6 linked regions of the Coturnix japonica genome follow. The protein of the gene in region 5 interacts with the protein of the main gene of each other region in a pairwise test. Links are inferred from orthologs where the notes say so. Each region holds a gene or a part of one and is shown on either strand. Other genes may lie near its edges. The genes, in order: MYO9A, CDC42SE1, CDC42EP1, ARHGDIA, CDC42 and PAK3.

Region 1 (4,669 bases), on a different chromosome or scaffold from region 5:
TCTCCCCATCCACTCAATGGGCAGAATGATTTACAGACCCTGGGTGTTTTAATCATTAAGTAACACCAATCTCATTAATTCAACTACACTGCTCTATGCAGAGCTTTGCTGGGGAACAACTGCATTGAAACTCCTCTGATCACAGGTTCTATTGACTCACCTGACCGATCGGAGATGGCTCTTTCAGAGTCAAAGTTCAGGTTTTCTGAGCTGTCAGCAGTGCCGATGGAGGCTTCCGACTCGAGCGTTTCATCATCAGAGGCACGAGGCTCCAGCGTCAGCATCTCAAATGTCAGCTCCTCCCTACAAAACCCAACCCTGTGACCCAACAGGACCAAAAAAGGGGGGAGGAAAGCAAGAGGCATGCAAAGAGTCTTCCAGCTCAACCCATGAGCAACATGCCAACCCCAGAACCAACTGCCATCACGCCATCCCCAAGTTGAACCTCTAGACAGAAGGTGCAGAAGCAAGCAAAGCTTCAATTCAAGGGCAGACTCACTTCTCCTTCTGCAGGCTTTCGATCTGCTCAGTCAGCACCCTCTCCTCCTGCTGCATGGCTGCTTGTTGCTGCTCTGTCATGTCCAGCTCCATGGCCTCCTCGCTGCTCACAGTCTCCTCGGGGACGTCAGACACAGAGGGCAGGCGCATGGCCACAGGGGATGTAGGGCTGGGGTAGGTGCCGCGCCGCACGCGGCCTTTGCCCTGAAGATAAACATCAGTGTCAAGCAATGATTATTTTGCACAGCCTCTTTCTGGGGGGTTCCTCCTCCCTGGCACAAAGGGAGCTACAAGATACAATGGGATGATGCAACACAGCAGGTTTGAGAGGTCTGCTAAGCAGGTGGAAGAAAGCATGGCATAAAAAAAAATAGGTGAGAAATAGTTGGGGAACAGCAAATAAACTAACGGTCAAATAGAAGAGTCCTGCATTTTAAGTAGTATTTAAACTTCTGATTATGAAAAAGGACTTAGATGGGAGTATTATAGATGAAGAAATACTGCAAGTGCAAACAGCCTCTGCTTTACCTTTGGAGAAGCTACTCCACAGGGTGAAAGAGAAATACCAGTTTTTGGACACAGAGGATGCTGAGGAGTAGTGTGCTTTGTGGGCACGCCATGGCCATTAAAAAGATTTCATCCTAACTGTTGCCGTAACTGAACACAACTCATCTCCTGAAGTCAGGATCCTGAACTGGTCAGAGTGAAAGATGAGTGCAACACGAATGCAACCTGAAAAACCCAGCACTTGCCTCTGCTCCACCTACAGGCTGCCCTCTTCCTTCAAACAATTATGTTTCTTGGTGAAACTGAATTCCCTTCTTGCTGCACTCTGCCTCATTCATCAGCTCATAGGCTGCTTTCCTTCCCACAGGGCTATTTCAGCACTGTAGCTGAGGTACCCCTTGGTCTTCCTCACAACCCACATGCCCAGAACATGGGAGAAAAGCCTCAATTTTTCAGTTTGAAAGCAAAACGCTATCAGGAATGCAAGCAGGGATCTTTCCTTGAGTGGCAAAGCAAACCTACATTGACATCAACGGGACACGGCTCAAGTGGGAGGCAATGCTGAGCACTGCTTCCCCCTGCAAGGTCTGTTAAATCCTACAGCCCCGACAAACACTGCTGCTCAGCACTAAGACATGAGATTTGCTCCATTTTACCGTTTCATCTCCTGCTGTTGCACCTGGGAGATCTTTCACAAAGGAGCTTCCGCGCACCGCAGCAACGTTCCTCTGATGCCAACCTCATCACGTGGGCTGCTGAGCTGAGGCACAGCCACCTGAATCCTATTAGCAAAAAGCCCTGAGCTCCCAAAGATCCCCTGTGTACTGTGCCTCGTGTACTGCTCTCCCTGCCTATGGGGCACTCAGCAGTGAGCGGATGCTGCAGTGACGACATCCACGTGGGCTTTCAGCAAAGCCCTCTCTTCTCCCAGCTGCTGCAAGTGGAAAATTCCCCGGTGGGTTGGATGTGGGTTTGGTCATAGTGCTTGCATGTCCAACGCTGGCTCGAACGAGGATGGCAACAACACTTTTTTGATGGTAAGAGTAGGGTTTGCTCTAAAAGAAGGAGCTTTCATGGTCAAAGGGGAGTCTGCTGCTGTGGTGGCTCAAGCCATGACAGAGTGGTGAGGTGCAGGGCTGCTGCATCCCCACATCCATCTGAGGCTGCCCTGACCATCAGGGGTTCAGCAGCCTGGCTGCCCAGAGCATTTCAGTAGATGCCATATGATGACTATGGATTCACCCACCGCAGCCAAAGCAATGGCTTCACCGTGCCTAAATACATCCCCAGCAGGAATTGTGGATGGGAGCAACATATCAAAGAAAGCAAAAGTTAGGAAGGCATAGAATGGAAAAAGAAAATTAAGAAGTGATGGTGAAAGCAACTTCTCGCAGAGCTGCATGCAGGGGTACAAGCCCGGCAGATTTGGCTGCTGCTGCTCTTGGGCATCCCAGAGAGCCACCTGCAGGGGGACAAGACAGGCAATGTCACAGACAATGGCCGGTGGCACAGGGCTGGAATGAGCAGCGGTCACACAGAACGGAGGGACACGGCTGGCACAGAGCGCTGTGCAGTGAATACATACCGGGATTGAACTGCGGGTTATGCTCATAAATCTAACTGCAATTAGTACGGGTTTCTGGATTAGAGAGGACATGAAAAGGAAAGCAGAAGGTTAGAGCGCACATGCCATTGTCCCTCCAAAACAACTGTTTTTTGTTTGGTTTTGTCTTTTTCTAAACCAAGATGAGCGAGGCGTTTCCCTGCAGTATCGGTGCCAGTGCATGGCCGAGCCCCAAGCTTGGCAAAATGACCCCAGAGTTGGGCCAGACCTGCCCTGAGGGCCACCGCGGGCAGCTCAGCCCCACAGCATGGGTCTGGATCAGGTATCTCCTGATCCCACAGCCAAAAAGCCACACATAGCATCAGCAGCCCGCTGGTGTGCTGGGGCGAGCAGGACCCAGAGCAAGCTATTGCTCACCCTGAAGCATGGAAGCTCAATGAGATGGTTGGGGAGCCTCAGGGAGCTCAGTTTGGATTCAGGTCACGTTAGTGAGCTCATCAGCAGCACAAAGAGGACAAGGCCAGTGGTTATGGACTGCTTCAGTCCAGGTCTCCCTTGCATTTGTGCATGGCATGACAGCAAGGTAAGCAGAGGCTGGATTCAACCCAAATTGCTCAAACGTGCAAGATAAAGACTGAAATGTAAACAGGAGCCTCCAAGCTTGAGTGACTACATTTCCACAGAGCACTCTCTCAGGCTTCTTTCCCATCGCCTTTGCTGGATTCCCTGAAAACACAGGGAGCTGCCATGGGTCTGGGAGATGTGCTGCCTGGGGTGGGATGGTTTGGGAGGTGCAAGGGGCTGGGGAGGCTGGAATAAGCAAGGAGAGGTAAAGCAGGATTGCTTCAAGTGAAAGGAGAAGAAAGAAGAAAAGAGAGGTGACTGTGTCAGAGCCAGAAAGTGGTCTGACTTTCCCTGCAGCAAGACAGACGTTCTCTGTAGCTATGATGGATGCACCATGGGAACACCTGATATCCACTTTGGTGCAAATTCCCTTGTAGAAGGAAAGGGGTCACGAGTCTGTGAGCAGCAGGGGCTGGTGCAGCATCTCACCATTGACCTGCGGATCAAGGAGAGGCGGCTCTTGGCTTTGTTCTCAGCAAACTCCAGGCTGTTGATGTCCTTGAGGCGAGCCTTGTATTTGTTCATCTGCTCGATGACAATGAGTTCTACACAGCTGGGAGGCAAGGAAAAGACAAAACAGAAAGTTTTTACTCGAGCTGTCTCTGCCTGGTGCAAAGATCTGCTCTGCTTGAGAGCTTCAGCATGCAAGGATGCAAAGAAAAAGACCAAGGAAATTCCCTGAGAACAGCGACAGAATGCACAGCTCCAAAAGCAATGTCTCCTGTTTGTTTCCATGGAAACAAATTTCCATGGGTCAGTACTGTAGCTGGTCCTGTTTGATATCTTTATCAGTAATCTGGCTGAGAGGACTGAATGTACCCTCAATAAATTCACCAATGACACCAAGATGGGAGGAAGTGTAGGTTTGCCTGGGGGCAGGAAGGCCCTACAGAGGGATCAGGACAGGCTGCATCAGTGGGCTGAGGCCAATGGGATGAGCTTCAACACGACCAAAGGCCTGATCCTGTGTTTGGCCATAACAACCCCAAGCATTGCTACAGGTCTGGGGCAGAGTGGGTGGCAATCTGTGAGAGGAAAAGGGGTATGAGCTGATAGTCAGCTGAGTATGAGCCAGCAGCGTGGAATAATTAGGAAAAATTTATTCTCAGAAGCAGTGGTAATGTGTTGGAAGAGGCTGCCCATGGAAGTGGCGAAGTCAGCATCCCTGGAGGTGTTAAGGAAAAGGGTAGATCTGAGAGACATGGTTAGTGGGCATGGTGGGGACGGGTTAACAGGTGGACTAGATGATCTAAAGAGTTCTTTTCCAACTTCAATGATTCTATGATGTTATGGTCAAGATTAACCCAAACTGTAGCATGCACAGAAATGTTCCACCTGACTGTCACACACAAATAGGCAGTGCTAGCACGGGTCCCAGCAGGTGGGTCTCCAGCAACAGAATAAAGATCTGGCTGTTGTGAATGGGATTAACCACATCAGCACAAGCTCCACTTGTTTCCACTATGATCTGCTGGT
Region 2 (5,473 bases), on a different chromosome or scaffold from region 5:
GCCCCACAGCTGGGGGCAGGGAAAGGGGATGGAGGGAGAAGGAGAAAAAGGGGATTGAGGTGGGGAGGAGGAATAGAGGGGATGGAGGGGGAAGGAATAAAGGGAATCCATGCAGGGGGGAGGACAGGAGCCAGGTCCCACATGAGACCCTCCCCAACAAAAGGCTCTACTCCCATTTGCTTCCCTCTGTGCATCTCCCCCCCCCCCCCCCCCCCCCCACTGCATTCTGCTCCCCCCATATGCCCCCATTTCATGCCCTGAATCCAAAGAGGTGACCCAGGTACCCCTCTGAGCCCAGCCCTATATCGGGGCGGGGGGAGGGGGGCGGCTATATTTAAGCTCCCCCACGGCTTTGGGAGGGCTACAAAAGGCGTGTGTGTGAGCACAGCGCTTTAAATAGCCGCCTCCTTTGGGAAGGGTGGGGGGGACACACACGAAGGGACACAGCCCGGAGCGATGGCGATGAAAAATAACCAGCACCAAAGCACTAGAAACAACCCCCCCCCGCCCCAAAACCCGAACCCTAAAAGGTCCGACCCATCCCTAATTGTAATGAACATCACTGGAACGAGGTGACCAAAGCGCAGAGCACCCCCTACCCCGGACCCCCACCCACCCATCAGGGCTGTTACCTGCGCTGGGCTCTTTGGGGGGGGCTGCGGGTCGCCGAACCTCTTTGTGTCTCCGCAACCTTCGCTCTGCGGCGTCGCTTTTGTCTGTTGGCGCAGCCGGGTCTGCAATGCAGCCCCTCGCAGCGAACCACCGTGGGGGTGGGAGGAGTGGGGGGGGGGGGGGGGGGGGGGGGGGGGGCGTGGGCAGATGAGTCAGCAGCCCCCACCCGCGTGGGGCGGACAGATGATGGAGGGATGGAGGCGGCCCACCTGCCATAGAGCACGGTGCCCTTATGGGGGGGTGCAGATGAGGCTGTGGGGTGCCCGTGGGTAAGAGTGGGGAGGGGGCCGGGGGGGGCCGTGGCCCTCAAAAGGCTTCACAGGTCGGGGTGCGGCTGACACGTTTCTGCTTTGATTCATTTCAGTTTTGGTCCAGAAAAGAGACACTGAGGCAGAAAGGTGAGCGGCCCGGCAGGGTGGGGGGCTGCTTCCATCTGCTTCCAGCCTGAGTGAAACGCCCCCCCCCCGCCCCAATGAGCCCCCCCCAGCTCTGCTGGGCACCCCAAGTCTCACAGAGCCACCCCCACTCCTTACCGACACCCCCAAACCCCCAACTCGGCTCTGCTGAGCTGTGCTGGGTGACCCCCAGCTTTGCTGAGCCCCCAAATCCCGCTGGGATCCCCCCATCCTTAACAGCCCCCCCCCGGGCCCCCCAACCCAGCTCTGCTCAGCCTCCCCAGCCCTCCCTGCACCCCAAACCCTCACCTACAGGGACCCGACTGCCCCCAGGCCCCCCTCATCCTCACCGGGTGCCCCCATTCCTTAGCAGCCCCCTAGGGCCCCCATCCTGCCCTGCTGAGACCCCCAGCTCTGCTGGCCCAATGACTCCTTCCACCCCCATCAGCCCCCCCCCTCTGATCCCCAGGACTCCCACCTTTGTCCTGTGGGATCTCCCAACCCTTTGCAGCCCCCCGAGGACCCCCAGCCCCATCAGTGCCCCCCCAGCCCTGCAAAGCCCCCCTGTGGGGGCTCTCAGCTTCGTTCTGCCCCCCAAATCCTGCCAGACCCCCCTAGGACCCCATCCCTGCTGAGCCCCCACCTTTGCTGGCCCCAAATCCCCTCCAACCCCCATCTGTACCCCCAAACCCCTTCAGTGCCCCCCAACTCCCCCCCTTGTCCCCTCATCTCCCTCCATCCCCCACGAGTCACCCCACGACCCCACAACCCCCCCCGTTCCGTGTCCCCCCCCTTCCCCCCCTCCCGGCCTGCAATGCTCGCTGTGTCCGGGGTTGGAGCTGCGTTCCGCTCTGTGCCGCTCCGGGCCGCGCCGCGCCGGGTGGAGGCGGAGGAGGCGGAGGGGCAGCGGGGCAGCGCGGCGTCCCGGAGCTGCGGAACCACGGCGGAGCGAAGCCAGGTGGGCGGCGGGCGGGGGGCGCCGCGGAGACACCGGGAGGGGGGAGCGGGGCGGAGGGAGCGGGGCTGAGGCCTACAGGAGTTGATGGGGGGGTGAGGAAGGCCTGGCGGAAGAGGGCCCGAAAAATACCTTGTAATGAACCCCCTCGCCCCCAAAGAGAGCGGTGTGCGGTGGGACCCCCACGGGGGGTGGGGTGAGAAGCGCAGTAGGGCGCTCCGTAGCCGCCCCCCACCCTACCATCCCCGCTGGGCCCTATAGGGCCGCCCCACGGCGAGCGGGCCTCGCTGGGCCGGGCACGGAGGATCGCTGCGGATTGAATGCCTTATCGCGGGGGTCCTTAACGCCCCCAACCCCAACGCTGCCCCTTCGATGTTTGGGGGGGGGCACCCCCTCGTCTGCCCCCCGGTTGGAGTTTGGGGGGCGGTGGGGGGGAGGATCCTTCGGTGCTGGGGGTCGGCAGTGCTGCCCACGTTACGCTTCATGGTCCTGCCCCCCCCGACCCTAACGCGACCCCTGTGAGCTGAGGGAACCCCCTGGGCAGCACCTTGTTGGAGTATAGGGAGGGGACACCCCAAAGCCGGAGAGTGGGAGCGGTTCCCGTGTCACCCCCTCATCCTGGGGGTCCTGAGCCCCCGATCCGGTGTGTCCCCCCCCCATCAGAGCCCCCTGCCCTCTCTGAGCGTGGGGGGGTTGAGGGGTCGGGCCTTTTATTGAAGTTTTGGGGTTCTGGAGTCCGTGGGAGTGCCCCGATCCGTCCATTCCCCCCTCCCCCCCCCTCGGTGACGCAGAGCGGCTGAGCGGTGCTTTCCCAACCGGGAAGTCATTTTGTGAGTGCCGGCCTGGGTCTGCCCGAAGGCATTTCGCCCCCCCTCACGCCCCCAGTGACATTGGTGCCATTTCCCCTCACAGACCCCAAAGCTTTGCACACAGGCCGGGTGCAGCTCATTGCACAGTTGGGCTCAGGAGACCTCGAGGTCTGTGAGCTCACCCTCAGTCCCCCCCCCACAACCAGGGAAGGGAAGGCCCTAAGGCCTGGCTTTTGGGCTCTGTGTTTGGGGAGGGGGCTCCTGGTGGGTGCCCACCCCAAAGGCAAGAAGTGTTGGTTGTACTCTGCTGGACTTCAGACTGAGTTGCTGCCGGGCTGTCCTGCAGAGCAGAGCTGTGCCCCCCCCTCCATCCCCCCAACCTTGAGCCCCTCCATTTCACCCCCCCCCCCCCAACTCCGGGGCTGTTTGTTGCACTCTCCTGTTTGTTTCTTCCCCCGCCCCGTTCGCTCTCTGAGCCGAAGCGGAAGAGCTCAACCTCCGGTCCCTGTTCAGAAAGGCAGCTGTATTTATAGCTCCTTTCTAAAGGGGGGGGGGGAGGAGGGGGTGCTGCAATTCACTGCCATGTGTGCCCCCATCCCATGGCAGCATCCTCTCCTTGTCCTGCACTGGGGGCAGAGGGGACACCCTGTGTGCCCATAGGTGTCTGCTCAGCATGTTGAGGCTCAGATTAGGGCTGTCAGGACAGCAGCTGCCCCCACCCCTTCCCAAGCACTTCAGTTTCCCTGCAGTACCTCCCTGGGTGACTCCACACCCCTCAGCACGACCCCCCTGTGCTGCGGTGCCACTTGGGGACAAATCCTTCTCGTTGTCCCCATCTCAGGTGCCTTCCCTGCTGAACAGGTGCCTCCCCCCACCCGTTCCCATGGAGTGAGAGCACACGGGGGTCTCTGCAGCGCCGCAGCCCCCACCCCGCCGGGAGCAAAGCTGGAAGGCACCGCAAATATGAGCGACTTCTGGCACAAGCTGGGCTGCTGCGTCGTGGAGAAACCACAGCCTGTGAGTAGCTGCAGCTTTGGAGACGGGGGTGGTGGTGGGGGGTGATCCTGGGTGCAGGGGGGGCTGACAGCCTTCATCTCTATGCAGAAGAAGAGGAGGAGACGAATCGACCGCTCCATGATTGGTGAGCCCATGAACTTCGTGCACCTGACTCACATCGGCTCCGGAGATATGGCTGCGGGCGAAGGGATGCCCATGGTACGGCCTGGGGCTGACAGTGAGCAAGGGTGGGTGGTGGGGCTCAGCATGGGGGTGCTGTGATCTCAGCCCTGCATGGTGCTGGCTTTCAAGGGGGCTGGGAGCCCTTGGGGGTGGTGTGATGGGGGTTTTCTGCTCGGTGCTGGGTTGGTGACAATTTGTTGTGGTGGTGAAACGTTTCTCCCCTCCCTGCAGACGGGTGCTGTGCAGGAGATGAGGTCCAAAGGAGGACGGGAGCGGCAGTGGAGCAGCTCCCGTGTGTTGTAGCATGTGAGTACGCAGCCATGGCAGGAGCTGGGCAGCCCCGAGCGCCCGCTGTCACCACCTAAAGCACGCTGCTAATTAACACATCTAATGAGCTGGGCAGTTTTGTAACCTCTCATCTCCAACTTTTCAGATTTCTGGCTCTTTCAGCCCAAACTTGAACTGCCTGATCCCCACACCGGAGGAAAAGCCAACCTCAAGCGCTTGATTCCCGTGGTAACTTATGCAGGCGGAGCTGCGCGGCTGGCTCTGGGTCATCCCCCACAGATCCTCCCCCCTTCCCCGGGGCACCGGGCCGGCCAGGAGAGCGCTGTCCCTCCCTATGGGGCAAGCAGAGCAGCCCAGCCCACAGCGGGAGACGCCGTGCACAGCCCTCATGTGCCAAATCCCCCCCCTTCTCCCTTCCCCACACCCCAGCTGGCACCGCTGTCTCCCACGGGCCCCTCTCGGCGCTGCCCCCCATGCCTCAGTTTCCCTTGGGACCGCAGTAGGGCGGGTTGTGCTGCAGGGGCTGAGCTGGGGAGGCATCACAGAGCCCCAGAGCCCCAGCATTGGGCATCCTGCAGCTCCAGCGCTGCCAGCAAGCCTGCCTTTCCTCCAGCCTTCAGCCGGCATCGCCACCAGCCAACCTCCGCCTTCCTTCTTTTTTAGGATTTTTTTTTTTTTGGGGGGGAGGGGGTTGTTCTGTGTTTTGTTTCTTTTTTAAAGCTCTAAAATCCTCCCATTTGGCCTCTCCTGTTACCGCTGGGCTTTTACCAGCACCAGCTGCTCCCCCAAGAAGGAGGGACTCTCAGGTTCCGAATTCAGGTGCACGTGTACATAGTTTAAATAGCGCCGGGGCTGAACAGGAACCAGCAGATGCCGGAGCCAAGCGGGGCAGCAGAGCTTCCCTTCCCTCCCCTGTGCTCCCAGTGATGCTGGGCTGCTCAGCCCCAACGCTGCACCTGGTGAGTGCAGATGTTTGAGTCACTTTTTATCCCCCCTTTGGAAACAAACAAAAACCGACACAACCCCACCTTTGAAATAAAATCTTGTGCTAGGCCTGCGGGCTGCCCGGGCTGCTCACTGCTGAGGGGGGGTGGTGGATGTAGATGGGGGTTCAGCTCTATGGGGCTGTGCTGTGTGTCCAGGTGGGGTGTGAGGCAGCACTGGGGATTCATAAA
Region 3 (4,948 bases), on a different chromosome or scaffold from region 5:
TTCCTCTTGGCTGCTTGCTTTGATAGATAGATGGAAGGGCTGTGTGCCCTTCTGCTGGTATAATGCCAGGCTATGTGGGGATGGGAACACAGGCGTGCCCCAATACTGGCATTCCTGCAGTGATAAGGGGTTGTCTCTGGCTTTTCCCCTTATCTCACCTCACTTATTTGCTGGTGCATTCCAGATGAGTTACCCATTACTCCAACATTGCCTTTTTGGAGGGAAAGTGAGGCAGGGGAGAGTGGTAGGGAAGGAGGAGAGTTTTTAGGTGGGTTAGGCAGCTCCCACCTGTGTCTCTCACATGGGACCTCAGGCTATTAGCGCTTGATTATCTGATGCTGCTGATCTAATTAAGAAGTATCATGCCAGTTGCAGGCAGGCCTGGAGTGTGCTGGGTCAGTCCTGTTCCCAGTGTCCCTGGGGAGGGAGAATGAAATATGCAGAAAATGAGGAAGCAGAGAGATTGCAGTGCCTCTAACAGCGCTGGGAGGAAGGGCAGGAGGAGGCTGAATGTGAGGAAAAGCATCACCTCCTTGCCCTCACTGGTCAATGTGTAAGCGATGTTTATGTTAAACAGAAAGCTTTGGATGAATCATGGAATCACAGAATGGCTTGAGTTGGAAGGGGCCTTAAAGATCATCCAGTTCCTCCCCACTGCCATAGGCGGGGATGACACCTATCAGCTCAGGCTGCCCAGGACCCCATTCAACCTGGCCGTGAACCTTCAGGGATGGAGAACCCACAGTTTCTCTGAACGTTCTGTGCCAGCACCTCACCACTCTTTTTTTGAGTGGTTTTGAGATGAGTTTTCCTCCTAACATCAGTTCTATATCTTCCCTATTTTAGTTTAAAAGCATTCACCCTTGTCCTATCACTATCACACTGTGTAGAATCAGTCCACCTCCTGCTTATAAGCTCCCTCACTGCAGCCTTCTCCATAGGAGGAGAGGTGCTGGGATCAGAGTGGCTGGGACCAAAGTGGCAAGGGAAGATGCCAAGGTCACTACAACTGAGGGAGGAATGCACCAGAGAAGTTAGTATCAAAACTGCTTTAATAAGGACAATCATAAGTGCAGGGATACAGAGTGGAGGCAGAAAGGCTGTTCCACAGATGTGGGTCTTTGGTCTGGAGCCTGTACCACAGTCCAAGAAGCAGAGAACAGGGAGCTCATCCCGAGAGCCGTCTCCCTGGCACAGGCTGGATGCTGACCCTGCATGGCCCTGCTGAGTGCTGGTGGTTGGAACTGGGAACGTGCTGGCACTGCTCTGGGGGTGCTGAGGGAGGAGGGCTTGCCCTTAACCTGCCTGCAATGACTGCCTGGCTCCCACATACAGCACGTGCATGCTGGAGCCTCTTTATTCTGCTAAAGGACTGGGCAGTGGGTGAGCCACGTAGGAGCGCAACCCAATGGCATCTCCCCCCACTGCACACCCCCGTCTGTTCCAGAGAACAAGGAGGGTGCTGTGAGGGTCCCTCTGGTGACCTCAGCCCCCAAACATCTCGGCTCCACACCACGGCACAAAGGCGCTTCTGTGCTGGGTGGCATGGAGGCCGCTTGTCCTAGGGTGGCTCCATCACCCGGGGATGCTCAGAGAACAGCACTGAGCATCCTCCATGCATGTCCTTGAGACAAGGCACTCTGCAAAGAGGGGTGTGTGTGTGTGTGTGAGGGGGGGGTGGGTAGAGGGATGAGGGTGGGGAATAATGGCTGCAGAGAGGGAGTCTCCTTGTTGTGAGGTGGGTTGAAGGGAAAGGGAGTTTTTAAGGCAGTATTTGGAAGCCAGACAGTCTCACCTCTGGCAAACCACAACGTTTCTCCCCCTCCTTGCTGCGAGGGTTGGACAAAGAGACTTCCTCAGTGATGTCCAGCAGCATAAGGTGAGGGGAAGGTCCCCCGAGAGGAATGCTGGCTGGGTGCCTGGTGCAGCCACTGCCACCTCCATGGCCACCACTGCCTTCTCGGGGCAGGGCTTTGTATCAGGGATCAAGCTCAGTGTCTGTGAGCTCTCTCTCTGATTCCTGTCTGTCACTGTTGCTTCCTTTCCTGAGCAAGCTGTTTGCTTGTGGGGGGATGTGGGCTGGGGTGGGAAGGGGCTCAAGGGTTTCTTTGGCACACGGGAATGTCCTTTTGGCACCTAATGGGGAAGGGGAAGGGCTGTAGCATGGCACACTGCAGTGCACGGCCCTCACCCATCCCTGCAGCACCCTGCCAGACCTGGGGGTCCTGCAGGAGATGGGGCCCCCTTCTGCCCACCTTATACTCCACTGCCCTATGGTGAAGGCCAGGAAGTTGCCTGCTGGGTCTGTCACCAGAGGTGGGGGGTAACGAGGAGTGTGATGACCGCAGCACTAATGTCTTTGGGAGTGGGGCCACGATGGTGGGATGGCCACTCACACCTTGACTTCATCGTCTTCCTCCTCCTCGTCGGCATACTCAAAGGAATTGCTGCGCCCCCCCCGGGTGCCAACGTGCCCCTCTTGCAGGCTGGGGAGCTCGTCTTCCTCATCCTCCTCCTCTCCTTGGTCCCAGGTGTCCTCTGGAGACTGTCTGGCTGCTGACACTTGTGGCCGCCATGAGTTGCTGCTGGGGCTCTCCCAGGCAGCCCGTGTCCAGCCTTGCCGAGCACCCTCGCCCTTCTCTGAGCTGCGTGGGGTGCTTGTCCCCCCATAATGGCGAGCCAGGACCTGGGCTGCCCGCTCGAACTCCCCTGCCTCAATGGAGCAGTCGTTCCAGTGCCCCTGCCATAGGGTCCCTCCGGGCACTGCCCCCAGCCCTGAGGCTCGTGCTGGGTCCTCCTTGCGCTGCTCAATGGCACGTGCCTCTCCATTGGCACGGATGGACAATCCCAGAAGTGAGTTGGCTTGCCCAGCGTTGTCCCAGAAGCTGGGTTTTGCCTTCAGCTCTCCATGGGATGTGTTTGGTCCTGGAGGGACTCCGTCCTTGGTCCCCTCACCATGTGGAAGCACACAGCTGCCAGGTGGGTCTCGGCCATCCTCTGCTACCTCGTTCCCATTGGTTTCAGAGAAGCTCATCACCTGGAGGAGCTCGCTCATGAGAGAGGGCCCCAGGTCCAGGCGGAAGGAGAGCAGGGAGTCTGAGCGTTCCAGCTCTTCTTCCCCAGGGAAGGTGCTCTCCTGGGCCTTTTCCAGGCGAGGGACACGAGGGATGGTGCAAAATCCAGACTCCAGCCCTGCAAAGAAGTGTCGGTTGATGAGCACAGCCAGAGTGCTATGGTGGAACAAAGCCTACATGGCCACGGGACAAAGGATGCTGATGCCAGCACAGGTTGGTGGCACCGGCCAGGTTACCTCCCTTACAGGGCCCAGTGACATCACACTAGTGCAGCCCAGGGTGCTATCTCCAAAGCCCAGAGCTGTGGTCTTCTGGTGGGCAGCAGGCACGGTAAAAGGCTGATGGGAATGGAGCCGGGTGGGTGGGACCAGGAGATGGCAGCATTGCCTCAGCTTGCCTTTCCCTCTGAGCCCAGCCATGTCCCTTGGTTGCCACAGGCACCCAGACCCTCCTGAAACCTTCTGCCTCAGCCCCTGGAGAAAAGCTGAGTCACAGCCCCTGGCTGTCCCATCCACCCATCCACAGCCCTTCCAAATGGGGCCTTTCTGAATGCTGGCCAGTGGGATGAACAGCAGGAAAGGGAGGGATGAAGACCCTCGAGGGACAGATAGAGATGGAGGGATTGGGACAGCTGGGGGCTGCTGGGGGCTTCAGTATGGAGGTGGAGATGGCTGTGCCGTGGCATGAGCATTGCCACAGTGGGACATAAGGGCAGCTGGGGCCTAGCCACCACCCCAATGCTGCACTCACCGTAGGTCTGGTGTGCTTTGGAGAGTCTGTTTGAGGCACTCTTGAAGGAGAACTTGCTGGTCAAACCACTGTCGCTGTCATACGCTGCCTCGTTGAGCTGTGGCAGCGACACAGCATTCTTGATGATGGGTGAAATGGCCGGGGGTTCAGGTGATGCCCCTGCCTGGCTGCTCCCGCTGCCCCGTCTCCTCTGCGGTGTCCGTCGGACGTGCCGCAGCGTGCGGGCAAAGAAGTTATTGGCCTTGGCTGGCTCAGCCCCACCATGGTTGCTGAGGAAGGAGGTGTCCCCAAAGACATCACCGCCACGCCCCACGTGCATGGTGTGCCGAAAGTCCCCCAGTGGTGGGCTGATCATGTCCGGCGTCAGCTCCGACTTCAGCCGCCGCTTGCCATGGGAGCCCGACACCCAGCTGAGCACTGGCAGCTTCCCCAGGCTCATCTTGATCCTCCTTGTTTCCTCGCCTTCCAAAGAATCAAAGGCCAGTTTCCAGCAACGGGATGGCCCGTCACATCCCCATCACCAGGGGGAGCGACTCGCCTTGCCTTGGCTTTGAGCTGGTGGCAATGCTGCCTGCATCCGTGTCCCTGCCCTACGTTACGCTCATGGAGTCACCCAGCGTGGGGATGTCTTGTAGCCTTGGCAGGGATGAATCCCTTCAGGGAACTTTCTCACCCGGTGACAGTGATGGTGGTGGCAAGCACGTGTCCCCAAGAGGGTCTGTGGTCACCCCAGATGCTGCTGGAAGCTGATCTGATGTTGGAAGCTGGTGCAGAGTTGGGTGCTGGGAGCTGCAGCGTGGCAGGTAGAGCTCCTTGATTCCTTAAAGAAGAAAAGAAGGAAGGTGAAGCCCTTGGAGAGGATTCTCACAGACTCACTGGGTTTCCCCCTGGGAGCAGTGGGGCTGAATGGCTGTGGGGAAGCGTCCCCAAGAATGTGCCCTTCCCTCTGCCCGCTGCAATCCTGGCTGAGGATTTCTTCCCCATGCCCTGCCCCACAGGGGTGAGAAACCTCTCCCTGCTTTTCGCTACTAAGACAAACCCTTCAGGAAAGGGTGAGGCCTGAGGTACGGCACAGTTCTCAGGGAGGAGGAGGAGGAGCAGAGAGGGAAAAATGCAATATTTGT
Region 4 (4,282 bases), on a different chromosome or scaffold from region 5:
CCTACAGGACGTTGGGCATGGCATGAGATGGATGCCCGACCCAGTGTTCCAGTGTGTTGAGTCCCTCAGCTCTGCTCTGCCTAGCAGTACGACAGCTCCTCCTGCATGCACCCGACCAGCTCTGTTCTACTCATTCTAGGCTGTAGGAAATGCATTGTTATAGAAGCACGGAGCAGCCTGATGCTGCTGGGAGCCTCCTTTCTCCCTGGCAGAATACTCAGGGCAGCAGCTGAGCACTGTGATGTGAGGCTGCACAATGCTGTGTGCTGGGAGCAGGGTCAGCCGGGCGCAGTGGGAGCACGATGCCATCAGAACACTGCAGCAGAGGGGCTGTGGTGCAGCCAGCTCCATGAGGCTCCTCCAGGCCTCGCTGCACATTTTTCCTGTGCTTCCTTGCAGAGCTGAGACCCAGCCTGTCTTGAGCTGCTGTTTGGAACATTGCTTGCTGTTTCTGGTAACTTTGGGTCAGTTTGAAGAGCCACTTTTCACCCATGGACTTCCATGGGGTGCTCGTGGGGGAGGGAGGGGAGGGGTGAAGTCTGGCTTGGAGCTGAAACTGAGGGCAAAATGAGATTAAGCACTGGAACAAATGCTTGAGTGAGTGTTTGTTGAACACTTTTGGGAGCCTTCAAGCCTGGAAGCTTTCTTGGATGGGAGCCTAAAGGAAATGACTGGTTTCGATATGGATTTTCTAGGGTGAGAGCTACTCGGTTGCTCATGTATGGCATAAGATTTGAATGTAAATTTCCATGGCAATCAGTGCCAGGGACCTGGAGAATCCCTTTCTGCTGGTAGAGCTCAGTCAGGTTTTGATGCCCGCTGCAAGTACCCTTTGTGCACCCATGTTGGTGCCCCAGCCTCCCTGGGAGGTGCTGCCAGCCCAGGGCAGCTCAGATTTGCTCTTGTGTTTGGCTGGGGGTTCACCCACACGGGATCTGACAGCACCTCATCTCAGTGCCAGCATTGAGCTACAGCCCTGGTGCTGTGCTGGAGGCCGCTCTCATACCCTGGATCAGCCATAGTCATCAGGCAGAGATGTGCAACATATCACTCTAATTTGTCTCCTTGGCAGAACATTCCTAATATTTATGGCTAAAAACACCATCTACACATACCTCTGCTGTTGTGCTCTTGCAGCTGTCGCCAGGCTCAAGATGGAGGCAGACACAACTTGTCTTGTGTCACTGCACAATGTGCTCTGTGAGCTGTGTGTGCTCAGTGCCAGCGCTCAGGTTTTTCTCTCCCTGTCTGGGTGACACATTGGGTAGGAATGAAGTCGTTGAGTTAAGGGCTGTTATGTCAGCTAGTTCCAAGAGGAGAAGAGCAAATAGCAGTTGGCTTACGTAGCATAGCCTGTGCTGCAGACTTTGGGTTTTCCTTTACAAGTCAGCATTTCTGGATGTATCCTGGTCTTCTGTGGGGGCACGTGGAGATCAGAATTAAGATCATAGTGTTGATTTATTTGGAAACTGGATGGCAGAGCAAAGAATGCAGTTTTCCAGTCTGAGTCATGTGTGCTGATACACGACTCCAGACAGGAATGCAGAATGGGACGTGGAAATGCCAGGTAATAACGGGAATACCTGCATCCATCTGCACGTCATTTGTGGAGGATTTTGTCTGAGAAGCCTTTCAAAAGTTGTCAGCTGAGTGTTTTTAAGCCCTCAGAGCAGTCCAAGCTGATGTTTGCTGTAGGATCACCCGTAGGGCAGCACTCCTTGTGATGCATCAGGAATTACTGACACTTTTTCCTGGTGTTTTGATGGCTGTTGGACCAGCTCTCAGCTGGGTGTTTCCTGGTTACACTGTGCTCTGGGGCTTACAAAGCAGTGCCAATCTACACACCGGTCTTCAACCCATGTGTTTGCCCAGCTCTGTGACACATATCTTTGGAAAGGATCAGGATGAGGTCAGCTGAGCCAGGTGTCTCCTTCCATTGTAGATTCTGATTGAATTACAAACTGTGAGCTCCAGATTGCAGCTGAGGCTTCTGGCATTTGGGCCAGCGGTGGGGCTGGGCCTGTTCTTCTCCTCACCAGGTTGTACTATGGAGAAGCAGAACTGAACTGGGTTTATTCTGGGCTCAAGCTGATTGCAAGTGAAAGCATCACTGAGCTGTTCATGTGGAGGAGTTGTTTTTTTCTATGGCGTGGGCTATTTCTCTGTTGCAGCTGCTGAACAAAGCACAGAGGCTGATTACTTTTCCCAATCCTCTTGTAAGGGCTGAAAATGGGATCTTGGCTGCCGAGGGCAGGCTGGGGGGGGCACAGGTCCTTGACAGCAATGTGCCTCTGGAGTGGGGAACCTGGTGGGAGAGGGACCTGTGGAGTCAGGGCTGTTTTGGGATGGCTGGTTTATGCCAATATGCAGCAGATAGCTACAGTTAAACGTCTCCTCCCTGCTTCAGTGTAACTCGCGTGTGTGAAGATGGCAGAGCAGGAGCCAACAGCAGAGCAGCTGGCCCAAATCGCAGCTGAGAATGAGGAGGACGAACACTCCGTCAACTATAAGCCACCTGCCCAGAAGAGCATCCAGGAGATCCAGGAGTTGGACAAGGATGATGAGAGTCTGCGCAAGTACAAGGAGGCACTGCTCGGTGCTGTCACCGTGACTGCAGGTGAGCTCCACCTCTGGCTCCCCGGCCTCAGCTCTGCTCCTGTCTGGGAGCTGTTCTCTCCCCAGCTCTTTGTGACTTGGTGTGAGTATAGCCAGGAGCACAAGGGGCAGTGTCTGCCACTATTCAGTGGCCCCTGGAATAAAGCAGTGGGACTGAGGGGTTGTTTTCTGACCTCTGAGGGAGATGTTCTGGGAGAGTGTGTGGGCTGGGTGTAAATCACACAGGTTGGAGCCCTCACTGGTTTTCTCACTCTTTCAAGAACTTCCGTGGAAGGGGAAACGAGTTGCTTGGTACAAGGGCTAGTTGTTTAACAGCCTTTTATTTTTGTCTTCTAGATCCCAATGCTCCAAATGTGGTGGTGACCAAACTGACGTTGGTCTGTACTACTGCTCCTGGCCCTCTGGAGCTGGACCTGACAGGTAGGCTGGGAAACAAAAGCAGCCCTTCTCTGAGTCAACGCTGGTTAATGTGGGGTCTTCAGGGAGGTGTTGCCAAGGCACTGATGCTGTGGTGGGCAGCTCACCTGCATGTCCAAAATGCCTCTTTGCTGGATGCAGAGCCAGGTGCCGTGGTCAAGAGGATTTCCCACCTCAGCTTGCATCTCAGCAGCCCTATCTCAGCAAAGGCCTTTCAGCTTTCTCTATATTGCATGCCTTAGTTTTATAAATGTCTGAGCTGCCAGCTGGGGGAGCCAGCCGTCCTCCAGCCTGCACAGCCGCACTAATAGCAGCTTCAAGATGGTGACAGCTTTGGAGCAGACATTTACAAAGGAACATCCTTGAGTTAAGTGCACTGTTATGCTGCAGTTCCCTTTCTTGGGGGAGCACTTGGCCACCTCAAGTAGCACAAGCAGCATATCAAGGAGAGTCCTGAATTGCAAGAATAAAAGGATAAAATGCATGCTGTACAACCAGTAAGGGTCCAGTCCCCTGCTGCAGATACTTTCCATTTCACCTTTTATAGCTGAAATCCTTTCCAAAGCACGATGCAAATGGACTCAGAGCAATTGTTTACTTTCTGTGTAGGTGACCTGGAGAGCTACAAGAAGCAAGCTTTTGTGCTGAAAGAAGGTGTGGAATACCGGATAAAAATCTCCTTTAGGGTAAGGATTCAGATCTGCAAACTGAACAACTGGTGAAATTTAGAGCACCCGATCACTGCAACTCCATCATAGGGCCCCCAAATAGGTGTGATGGAGGAAATATTTCCCTGCAGTGGGTGGGGTGGGCAGCATGTGGAGATCCGTCTTTGACAGTCTTTGCTTGTCTCTGCAGGTTAACAGGGAGATTGTGTCAGGGTTGAAGTATATTCAGCACACATTCCGGAAAGGAGTGAAAAGTAAGTGCTTCTCTGTGTTTTAGGTACTGCTTTTTGTGAGGGCTTCCTGCTCTTTCTGTTGCTGTGATGGATGCTTTTGTGTGGGTACCCCAGCAACTCAAAGTGGAAAGAGATGTTCTTTAGCAAACTCTCCACTGTGGCAAGGTGTGGAGGTTTCTGGCTGTGCTGCAGGGAGCCACCTGTTGTGCTGGCTCTGCTGTGCCTGAGCTTGGTGTGCACTCACTGCTGGAGACTGGAGTTGAACAGATTGTTGCTGTGTGGACAGCAGTACGAGTGCTGGGTTTTGCTCCTTCTGGAAGGAGCTGTTTCTGGAATGAGTGGAGCTGT
Region 5 (3,958 bases):
TTCACCTTAGACCAAGTAGTTCTCCTCCTGACCCATGCCCTGCAGCAGAAGAAGGGGTTTTGGTGCCTGGCTTGAGACCTGAAGATGGGGATGCTGCAGCCCTGGATTCTCCCTCAGCTCATCTGCATCTTATCTGCCCACAAGGCTTTTGTTACAGCGCTGCCATCAGCCCAGCCCCATCCTGCGGAGCTTCACTCTGGCTGACCGAAATCTTCTCAGAGTCATTGTAGGATTTAGGAAGAAGCTTTTCCCAGCGCACCCTCCCTCACTCAGAGCACTGGGCAAATTAAAAGCAATGTGTTGTTATTATTAGGCCAGGCTATAATTAATTCCTTATCAAGTCACAAGTGCCTCATTTGATAGGGTGCTTCCCCCCCTGCATGTGTTATCACCCCAGGTCTTATTTTACTGCATGTTATTAAATCTGAATGGGAGAAAGTTAATTACTGCATGGGCTGTAGTGCTAATTACAGCAACATCGGAGACCTGTGATTTATGCTTCTCTGGGAGGAAGGTGTTCCTGCCCCAGTTTTATCTGTTTCCCATCATTAAGAACTGTAAGCTGATGTACAAAGGATTGGGGTGATGGCTGCTGCCTCTGCTTGTGGTTTCTTATGTGTGGGGTCCCTCACAAAGCTTATGGAAGGGCCTCTATTAAAGCTAATGGAGGGGTCTCTATTAAAGCTTATGGAGGGGTTTCTATTAAAGCTTATGGAGGGGTCTCTATTAAAGCTTATGGCGGGGTCTCTATTAAAGCTTATGGGGGGGTCCCTGATAAAGCTTATGGAGGGGTCTCTAATAAAGCTAATGGAGGGGTCCCTAATAAAGCTTATGGGGGGGGTCCCTGATAAAGCTTATGGGGGGTCTCTATTAAAGCTTATGGGGGGTCCCTGATAAAGCTTATGGGGGGGGTCCCTAAGTGCCTCTGGCCTATTGGCTGCCTCTTCTTGGCTTAGCCTGCCCCTAATGCAGTTTTGGGTCCATAGGGTGGGAGTTGCATTAGGAACAAGGCACCAAACAGCGGCTGGGAGAGGCCTGGGCTCTAACTAACCCTGCTGGTGACCCACATAGCGGCCTTATCGCCCCTCCGACCCAACCGGCCGCACAGGCCTCGACTGAGCAAACCGGAAGCGCGCTCCGCCTTCTCGTTCAATACGCGATGACGTCACCCGCAGCGTCCCCCCTCCCAGCGCTACGCGATGACGTCACCCGCAGCGTGCCCCTGCGCCTGAAGCCGAGGAGACCCCGCAGCGAGCCGCCAACGCCCGGCGGAGACTCTGAGGTGAGCGGCCGCGGCGGAGCGGGGCGGGAGCGGCGGGCGGGTGTGCGGGCTGCACCGCGCCTCTGTACCGCCATCACACAGCGGGGGCGGAGAACCGGGACCGTGTGGGTGCGGGCTGTGTGTGTGTGGGGCCTCCCCGCCGCTGGGTTGGGGCTGTTGGCGCAGAGCGGGGCTGAGGTGTGTGTGTGTGTGTGTGTGTGTATGGGGGGGAGCGCGGCCTACGCGGCCCAGCTCGGCCTCCTCCTCGTCCTGCCCCCCGCCCGGCACGGAGCGCTGGGCCCTGCGGGTTGTGAGCCCCGCAAGGGAGGAGGGGAAGCCGGAGGTCGGTGCCGCAGGTTGGGCCTGTGCTTCTTCCGGGAGCGCCGCCCAGCTCTGAAGTAGTTCCGAGGCGCAGTTGGGGTGTGGGCTTTGCTTTAGGAACCGCCGAACGTTTCCTTTCCTTCCCTTCCCTCTCCTCCTTCTCCCTATAAAGAGCTGGGAGGCGCTGCCCGGCTTTTGTCTCGCCCAGGTGCTGGGTCATCCGCCGTCCCGTTGATGTATATGGCTGGTTGTTGGCTGCTGTGCTTGGAGGGTTGATGTGGGGGGGGATTTCTCTTCCATCTTTGAGCTCTCTGAGATGAAATATAGTGTGGCCCCTTTCATAGTAGCTTTTCTTGTAAGCTGATGGTGGTGGTGGCCCAGGTGTGTGTGGAATCTGTGCTTGGGGGAGATAAGGATGGTACCTGCCCCATCTGCCTGCAGGCTGCAGAGCCAGCACTGCTATCTAACCATATAGACTGAGCACCATGAAGGCAAGGCCTGGATGAGAGGCTGTGATAGACGTGCAGGCCAAAGTAGTTCAGTCTGTGATTGCATCTGTTTGTATTACTTCTACCATAAAGAAAGAGAATCACAGAATCACAGAATGACCTGGATTGGAAGGGACCTCAAGGGTCATGTAGTTCCACCCCCCCTGCCTGGCAGGGCCACCAAACATACACATTTACTAGATCAGGTTGCCCAGGAGACCCCATAGATCAGGTTGCCCAGGGCTCCATCCAACCTGGGCTTGAACACTTCCAAGGACGGGGCATCCACAACCTCCCTGGGCAGCCTGTGAAAGAGATGCTGGCTTTATTCAAAGTGTTCCATTGGAGCACCCCAAATGGCCTTTTTTTAGAGGAATAATTAAAACCCAGGTTAAGTTTCTAGTGTTTCTAATGGGAGTAAGTCAGTAAAGCACTTGGAGCTTGGCTCTGTTGCACAGGAACAAGTTTAGATAGAAAGGCTTTGTATTCAGGTGTTTATATGTGGAAAATGTGTTGTTCTGGCTTGGAAATGAGTGAGATGATGGGGTGGAGTGTAGGCAAGTCTTCATCCGAAGCAGGTAACGCATGAATGAATCAATATGTTAATGTGTTTAATATTGTTAGTTGTGAAACGACTCTTTGTTCGGTCTGTTTACTGCTTATATGCTGCAGTAATAAGGACGCAAAGCATTTTAAAGCCTTGCTGAGGAATAAAAGCTGCAGGATAAAACACGCTTGCAGTACCAGAAGTGTCTTTAGATGCAGCTTTTAAGTCACCTACAGCCTTGCACACTGCAGCCCCTCAGTCCTTGCTTGCTGTGGCCAGCCCAGCTTTGGCTCCATCCATAGGCATGATGATGAATGTCAACCTACTCCAATTCAGGAGTGTTGGTATATAGGGGTTGTAATTATCCTCACACTTAATACTCAGTTTCTGATGAAAAACCAACAGATATGGAGGTGCTGTTGCATTAAAAGGAAGCGATATGGGTTTCTAGTATGTAGCAGGAGCTCTGCTTACACACTTAGTGCACTGTAGGCTTTGACCATGGCTCCTGTCACCCCGTTATGCTGGAATGCATGTGTCCATGGGTTCTGATCCAAGTTCCTTTAATGTGGAGTGGAAAGCATCAATGAGAAATCTCTTCTGGAACATCATTCCCAACAAAGTATAATCCCTTTATCAGCAGTGATATTGATAGGCCTGAGATAAGCACGCTGCTTCCTGCAGACAGTGTTGGGGCAGTTCCTACGCATGGAGCACCAGCAGCTGAGCCATGCACTGGGTGCTGCAGCTGATGTGCACAGGGTGGCTGCCCTTATGCAAAAGTGCTCACTGTGCTGCTGCCAGTGTCAGCTGTAGTGCTTCTAAATGTGTCTGGCTATAGGGAGGGGAGCTGGGATAAGCAGCCGTGCTTCTCAGGGTTTAATGTGGGATGACTTCTGCCTTCTTCTTTGAGTCCATGTGAAGGTGGTTCCTTTGAGGTCCGAGCAGTGAGCAGATGGGAACCTTGCTGTGCTGTGCCCACTGAGTCACGCTCTGCTTGACCAGGCTTGTTTTGAATGTAGGGCTGTGCAATGGCTGTTGACTCTTTCATTTCTTTTAAGTAGTAGGACTTAAAAGGTGTTATGTTGGCAGTGCTTTAAGCTCAGACTTCTAAAATTCTCCCACTCAGCTGCATTCACTTCCTATCTTGTGTATGTCTGCACTTATCAGCTTGTTGTGACGAGCCCTGCTGAATAGTGTGGTAGCTGTCAGTTCTTAAGTTGCATTAAGCATAGCATATATCAGTCTAAGAGCTGCTTTTTGAGGTGACACCTTGAGCTTCTCCCTTGGTAATTCATAGCAGCTCATCCAGAAAACAAGTTACTTCAAAATGATAGAGAC
Region 6 (4,486 bases), on a different chromosome or scaffold from region 5:
CAGCTGATGTTGCTGCACTCAGTGTTTTCCCCTCTGGCAGGAGCTGGGGATGGGTTCTCAGGGTGCCTGTAGGTCTGTAGCGCACAGGCTCTTCCTCCTCAGCATGGACTGGTGTCAGCCTGCAAAGCGCATCAGCTGCTGTCTTCAGCTTCTCAGAGAAAGCCTTTTATTAGCATTGTGGTTTTCTGTCCCTGTAACTGAACACTTCCTGGGCTGTCTGTTCTCCTGCAACCATTAAGTGGAGGTGCTGATGAGTTCCTGGGCAAGGGTAGTCCTGGTCCCCCTGGGCACTGTCTGTGCCTGAGCTGATGCTTCACCTTTAGCGTCTAAGGGCAGTCCTACGTGATGTGTTTTCTTTTGTCTTCAGGACAGGTCAGTGCTCTCGGTGGTGGTGTTGGTCCCATCCCAGTACTGTTAGTCTGTCATCCCTCAGTGGATGTTTTAGACATCTCTAAGGTTTTCAGGCCTGATTAAAAAATGTTTTTGTTACCCATGTGAATGCATTAGGTTAGAAATATTCCGAATTTCTTTGTTCCCAAACACAGCTGATGAATGAGAATGTGTTGAGTGTGATTTAACTCTGTACTAAAGACTGCCTCTGGGCCTGGCCATAAGTTGGTTAGCAATACCAATTGTAAAACCCAAAGATCTGTGACCACGGGCCTCAGGGAACCCAAGTGGTGGTCACGGTTTCCCCTATTGCTGTGAGGAATAAATAGCTGCGTTGCATTGCTTGCTTTTGGGCACAATTTGTAAGAACAGCCAGAAATAACACAGAGAAGAAAGCGCCGTCCTTCAGAGAAGGGCACCCTGTTTTCATTGCCCAGTACTTGGATGCAACAACAGCTAATGGACGTTGCTCTCATTCGTTCCCAATTTATCCGGAGTATATATAATTATTAAAAATTTCTAACAGTTTTTACGTACTTTCATGGTATTAAAATCATGTGTAGCTTGCAGAAGGTGCACAAAGAATAACGATGGGGTTAACAAGTTAAGGCCATCTTAGAGGAACATAAGCATGGAGAGTGTTAGAGATTTGTGGTTGATAGTCTAAAGATGGTTTTTACAGATTTTATAAGGCAAGGTATACCTATATATCATATGCATTATATATATATATATATATATATAATGACTGTGTGTCCAAAGTGTTACCCAAGCAAGCACAGAAATAGGGTGTTTTGCCTTACTGACTTCCAGTGCCTAATAACAAGACCCCTTGCCACAGCTCTGATACATTGTTCCAAGAACACTCCATGTTGGTTCTGATCTTGTGCAACAGACTATTTGAGCTGATGCATTGTTTCCACTGTCATTTTAGGTGGCCATAAAGCAAATGAATCTCCAACAACAACCCAAAAAGGAACTAATTATTAATGAAATCCTGGTCATGAGGGAAAATAAGAACCCCAATATTGTGAACTATTTAGACAGGTAAGTGATTCTGGTCTTGTCACCAGTGCAGTGTTCTGTGCTTATTTAGGTGGAATATGTTGTTCTGAGAGTATTTTTAAATATTCTGACCAGCCCTACCTTACTAAAACAACTGCTTGGAGCTCCATGACCTCCCTGTTTCTAAGTTGGTCATATTTTGTGCATATAATGCAAATATATCACCATAGAAATTATTCTCTTTGGCTTTTATGGCTGTTTTCCATTGCTGTGGATGCCAGACAGACAAGATTCTTGTTTCCAGACACATGTAATTTGCCAGTTTTTAAGCTGTTTTCCCTATTTCTGGATGTATTTATGTAAGGTTTTCCAAACTGTTGACCATGACTTAGAAGGAACATCCATTCTTGTTATTCTGTCTTCATTTAAAAATGAACTGTTAAGAAAAATAACTGCGGTAATTTTCCTAAGATGATTTAGTTACATTCATCTTAATGAAATCTGCTGTTGTCTTCTTTCAGCTACTTAGTAGGTGATGAGCTCTGGGTGGTTATGGAGTACTTGGCTGGAGGCTCGCTAACTGATGTTGTTACAGAGACATGTATGGATGAAGGACAGATAGCAGCTGTCTGTAGGGAGGTAAGGGATCCCAACTGCACTTCTGATTACCGGGACAGAATGGTACTTCTAAGCAGGTGCGAAGAACGTGAGTGGTGTGTCCAGATCTTTGTTTCTATGTTGCTTTTTTAATATGGGAGAAGAAAAGTGTGTTTAGTGAAACCGCCTGCCAGGATCACCGCCCCATGCTTTGGAATTACACTCTTCTCTCTTTCTAAGTTCTACTGTTCTCAGCTTTGCCTCTTCCAGCGTTGATCTGGAGCATGTCTGCACTGCATCCCTCGCCTGTAAAAGCAGACGTGCTGGAGGCAGAATTTTAAAATAATAAGGAAAATAAGAGACTCATTTATCACAGTCCTCAGCTTAAAAGGGGAGTATTCCACCCAAGGTGGTATTTGCTTCTGAAAAGTGACTAACATGTTATTTCCAAATATGCTGCAGGACGTAACAGTAACATCTTTGTCGTGCAGCCTTCCACCCAAAAGTGATCCGCTTCCTTCTGAAAATGACGTTTTCTTTTTGGCAAATAACAGTTTGTCAAATGGACACGAATGGCACATCCATTTTAACAGCGCTCATTCGGTCTGTGCTTCCAGGGGACAGGCAGTAACAATAACTGGCGTTTCTGTTCCCAAAGTTAATGTGCCTTCATTTAGAAGGTTATTATTCTGGTGGTGTTGAAGCAGCAAGCTATTTCTTCTGACAACGCACTATTCTGCCATTACTGTCAATTCTTCTAGAAATTAAATCTTTTATAGCCATTTCCTCTCTTGTGTGATGAAATCAGGTCATTAATTTTTACCCTTGTGTGTGTGTTTTTTTTATATCTATCAGTGCCTGCAAGCGCTGGATTTCCTTCATTCAAACCAAGTGATTCACAGAGACATAAAAAGCGACAATATTCTTCTCGGAATGGATGGATCTGTCAAATTGAGTAGGTATTCCTGGCCAAGCACAGCTTTCTCGGGATGGGGTGCAGGGCTGCATCTGACTGACTGCCAGTTACACACAGGAGTGCCTGTGATAGCGTACTGAGCACTGCTACAAGCTAGGAGCACAATCCCCACATGTGGAGGAATATGAAAAGGAGGAAGGTGTAATATCTGGCCTTTTTTTGTGCATGCCCTTTGCAGAGACCAGAGTTTATCATCTGAAGTCTTGAGTGTGTAAAAGTCACCGCAGAGCAAACAGCCGTGACCCCTTTTCCAGCTGGGTTCAACAAGACGTTCTTAGGCATAACGTGGGGATCTCTTTTCTTGGTTTTGTAATTCTAGATGGCTTTAACAACACTTGTTTTTGTCCTCAGCTGATTTTGGCTTCTGTGCTCAGATCACTCCCGAGCAGAGTAAAAGGAGCACAATGGTCGGCACTCCTTACTGGATGGCACCCGAAGTAGTGACAAGAAAAGCATATGGCCCCAAGGTTGACATCTGGTCACTTGGGATCATGGCAATAGAAATGGTGGAAGGAGAACCTCCTTACCTTAATGAAAATCCTCTCAGGGTAAGGTACAAATAGAATCAGACACCGCTGTCTTTTTAAGCTGTCCCATGTTTAGAGACGAAATCCCAGTTACATCAGCTTGAACTGGTTCCAGCAAGGACAGCTGGTACAAATGTCACTGGAGCACATCAACATGGCAGAGCACTAACAGAGCGGTAGCATGGAGCCAGTTCAGCAATGTGTTGGTTTTGTGTTAATGATGCAGAATTCCTCAGGCGGTTTGTGAAATCCCTGTTAGCTCCATCTCTGACAGGGATTTTCCTGTGGCAAATTTCTCCAGCTGATGAATCTGTATGAAAAAAGTTTCGGCTCTCTCAGCAGGCAGAAGTATTTCCAAACACAAGTCAGCGTAGATGGGTTACCTTGATTTATACCAACTCTTAAACTGTAAGAGGGGAGGAATGTATACTAAGGGAAACACTCGTAATGGATAAACAGATAAGTGCTACACAGGTATCTCCTGATAGGAGACAGGGATCTGAGGAAATTAATCTTGCATCTATGTACAGACAGGATTTTTGTGAAGGCTGGAACTGATGTACAGCGTGACCCTTAGTTCCTCTCACAGTGGCAAGGCTGCACTCCATCTGGCACCCAGACTCTGTGATGCAGACTGAAAGAGCAAACAACAGCTACAAACAAGTACCTGGCCATGCTATTTAAGAAATGCAGATGGCAAATATACAGACTTTGGTCTTGTATTCTTTCTGAATAAATGCTCCTGGGGCTTCTTGGAAACAGGTGGAGTCTTGCATTTCTGTTTTTCCCAGGCACTGTATCTGATAGCTACAAATGGGACACCAGAGCTGCAGAACCCTGAGAGACTCTCTGCTGTGTTTCGTGACTTTCTCAACTGTTGCCTGGAGATGGATGTGGACAGGAGAGGGTCTGCCAAGGAGCTTTTGCAGGTAAAAGGGGAAGTGGCTGCAGTTATATAATGGCATTCTCATCAGTTAATCATAGAATGACA

Evidence for each region.
Region 1: the proteins of CDC42 (region 5) and MYO9A interact in a two-hybrid assay, tested with the Homo sapiens proteins (3 studies listed by BioGRID and IntAct). The link is inferred for Coturnix japonica from reciprocal best matches to the Homo sapiens genes CDC42 and MYO9A.
Region 2: the proteins of CDC42 (region 5) and CDC42SE1 interact in binary tests that used the Homo sapiens proteins (3 or more experiments, as listed by UniProt). The link is inferred for Coturnix japonica from reciprocal best matches to the Homo sapiens genes CDC42 and CDC42SE1.
Region 3: the proteins of CDC42 (region 5) and CDC42EP1 interact in binary tests that used the Homo sapiens proteins (3 or more experiments, as listed by UniProt). The link is inferred for Coturnix japonica from reciprocal best matches to the Homo sapiens genes CDC42 and CDC42EP1.
Region 4: the proteins of CDC42 (region 5) and ARHGDIA interact in binary tests that used the Homo sapiens proteins (3 or more experiments, as listed by UniProt). The link is inferred for Coturnix japonica from reciprocal best matches to the Homo sapiens genes CDC42 and ARHGDIA.
Region 6: the proteins of CDC42 (region 5) and PAK3 interact in a two-hybrid assay, tested with the Homo sapiens proteins (2 studies listed by BioGRID and IntAct). The link is inferred for Coturnix japonica from reciprocal best matches to the Homo sapiens genes CDC42 and PAK3.

The regions. Positions count from the first base shown.
Region 1 is NC_029525.1:802,548-807,216, forward strand, and holds part of MYO9A (unconventional myosin-IXa), read right to left. Parts: intron 3,747-4,669; coding exon 3,623-3,746; intron 2,645-3,622; coding exon 2,591-2,644; intron 703-2,590; coding exon 500-702; intron 304-499; coding exon 161-303; intron 1-160. UniProt on the Homo sapiens protein: Myosins are actin-based motor molecules with ATPase activity. Unconventional myosins serve in intracellular movements. Regulates Rho by stimulating it's GTPase activity in neurons.
Region 2 is NC_029540.1:2,207,210-2,212,682, reverse strand, and holds CDC42SE1 (CDC42 small effector protein 1), read left to right. Parts: upstream 1-1,887; 5' UTR 1,888-2,025; intron 2,026-3,672; exon of another isoform or gene 3,673-3,692; 5' UTR 3,693-3,794; coding exon 3,795-3,848; intron 3,849-3,935; coding exon 3,936-4,046; intron 4,047-4,241; coding exon 4,242-4,313; 3' UTR 4,314-4,316; intron 4,317-4,443; 3' UTR 4,444-5,352; downstream 5,353-5,473. UniProt on the Homo sapiens protein: Probably involved in the organization of the actin cytoskeleton by acting downstream of CDC42, inducing actin filament assembly. Alters CDC42-induced cell shape changes.
Region 3 is NC_029516.1:46,737,569-46,742,516, forward strand, and holds the end of CDC42EP1 (cdc42 effector protein 1), read right to left. Parts: intron 4,645-4,948; 5' UTR 4,264-4,644; coding exon 3,825-4,263; intron 3,193-3,824; coding exon 2,393-3,192; 3' UTR 1,035-2,392; downstream 1-1,034. UniProt on the Homo sapiens protein: Probably involved in the organization of the actin cytoskeleton. Induced membrane extensions in fibroblasts.
Region 4 is NC_029533.1:4,453,571-4,457,852, forward strand, and holds part of ARHGDIA (rho GDP-dissociation inhibitor 1), read left to right. Parts: intron 1-2,407; 5' UTR 2,408-2,427; coding exon 2,428-2,617; intron 2,618-2,952; coding exon 2,953-3,036; intron 3,037-3,642; coding exon 3,643-3,719; intron 3,720-3,891; coding exon 3,892-3,955; intron 3,956-4,282. UniProt on the Homo sapiens protein: Controls Rho proteins homeostasis. Regulates the GDP/GTP exchange reaction of the Rho proteins by inhibiting the dissociation of GDP from them, and the subsequent binding of GTP to them.
Region 5 is NC_029536.1:5,530,743-5,534,700, reverse strand, and holds the start of CDC42 (cell division control protein 42 homolog), read left to right. Parts: upstream 1-1,158; 5' UTR 1,159-1,282; intron 1,283-3,958. UniProt on the Homo sapiens protein: Plasma membrane-associated small GTPase which cycles between an active GTP-bound and an inactive GDP-bound state. In active state binds to a variety of effector proteins to regulate cellular responses. Involved in epithelial cell polarization processes.
Region 6 is NC_029519.1:12,632,083-12,636,568, reverse strand, and holds part of PAK3 (serine/threonine-protein kinase PAK 3), read left to right. Parts: intron 1-1,324; coding exon 1,325-1,437; intron 1,438-1,916; coding exon 1,917-2,034; intron 2,035-2,847; coding exon 2,848-2,947; intron 2,948-3,319; coding exon 3,320-3,516; intron 3,517-4,286; coding exon 4,287-4,424; intron 4,425-4,486. UniProt on the Homo sapiens protein: Serine/threonine protein kinase that plays a role in a variety of different signaling pathways including cytoskeleton regulation, cell migration, or cell cycle regulation.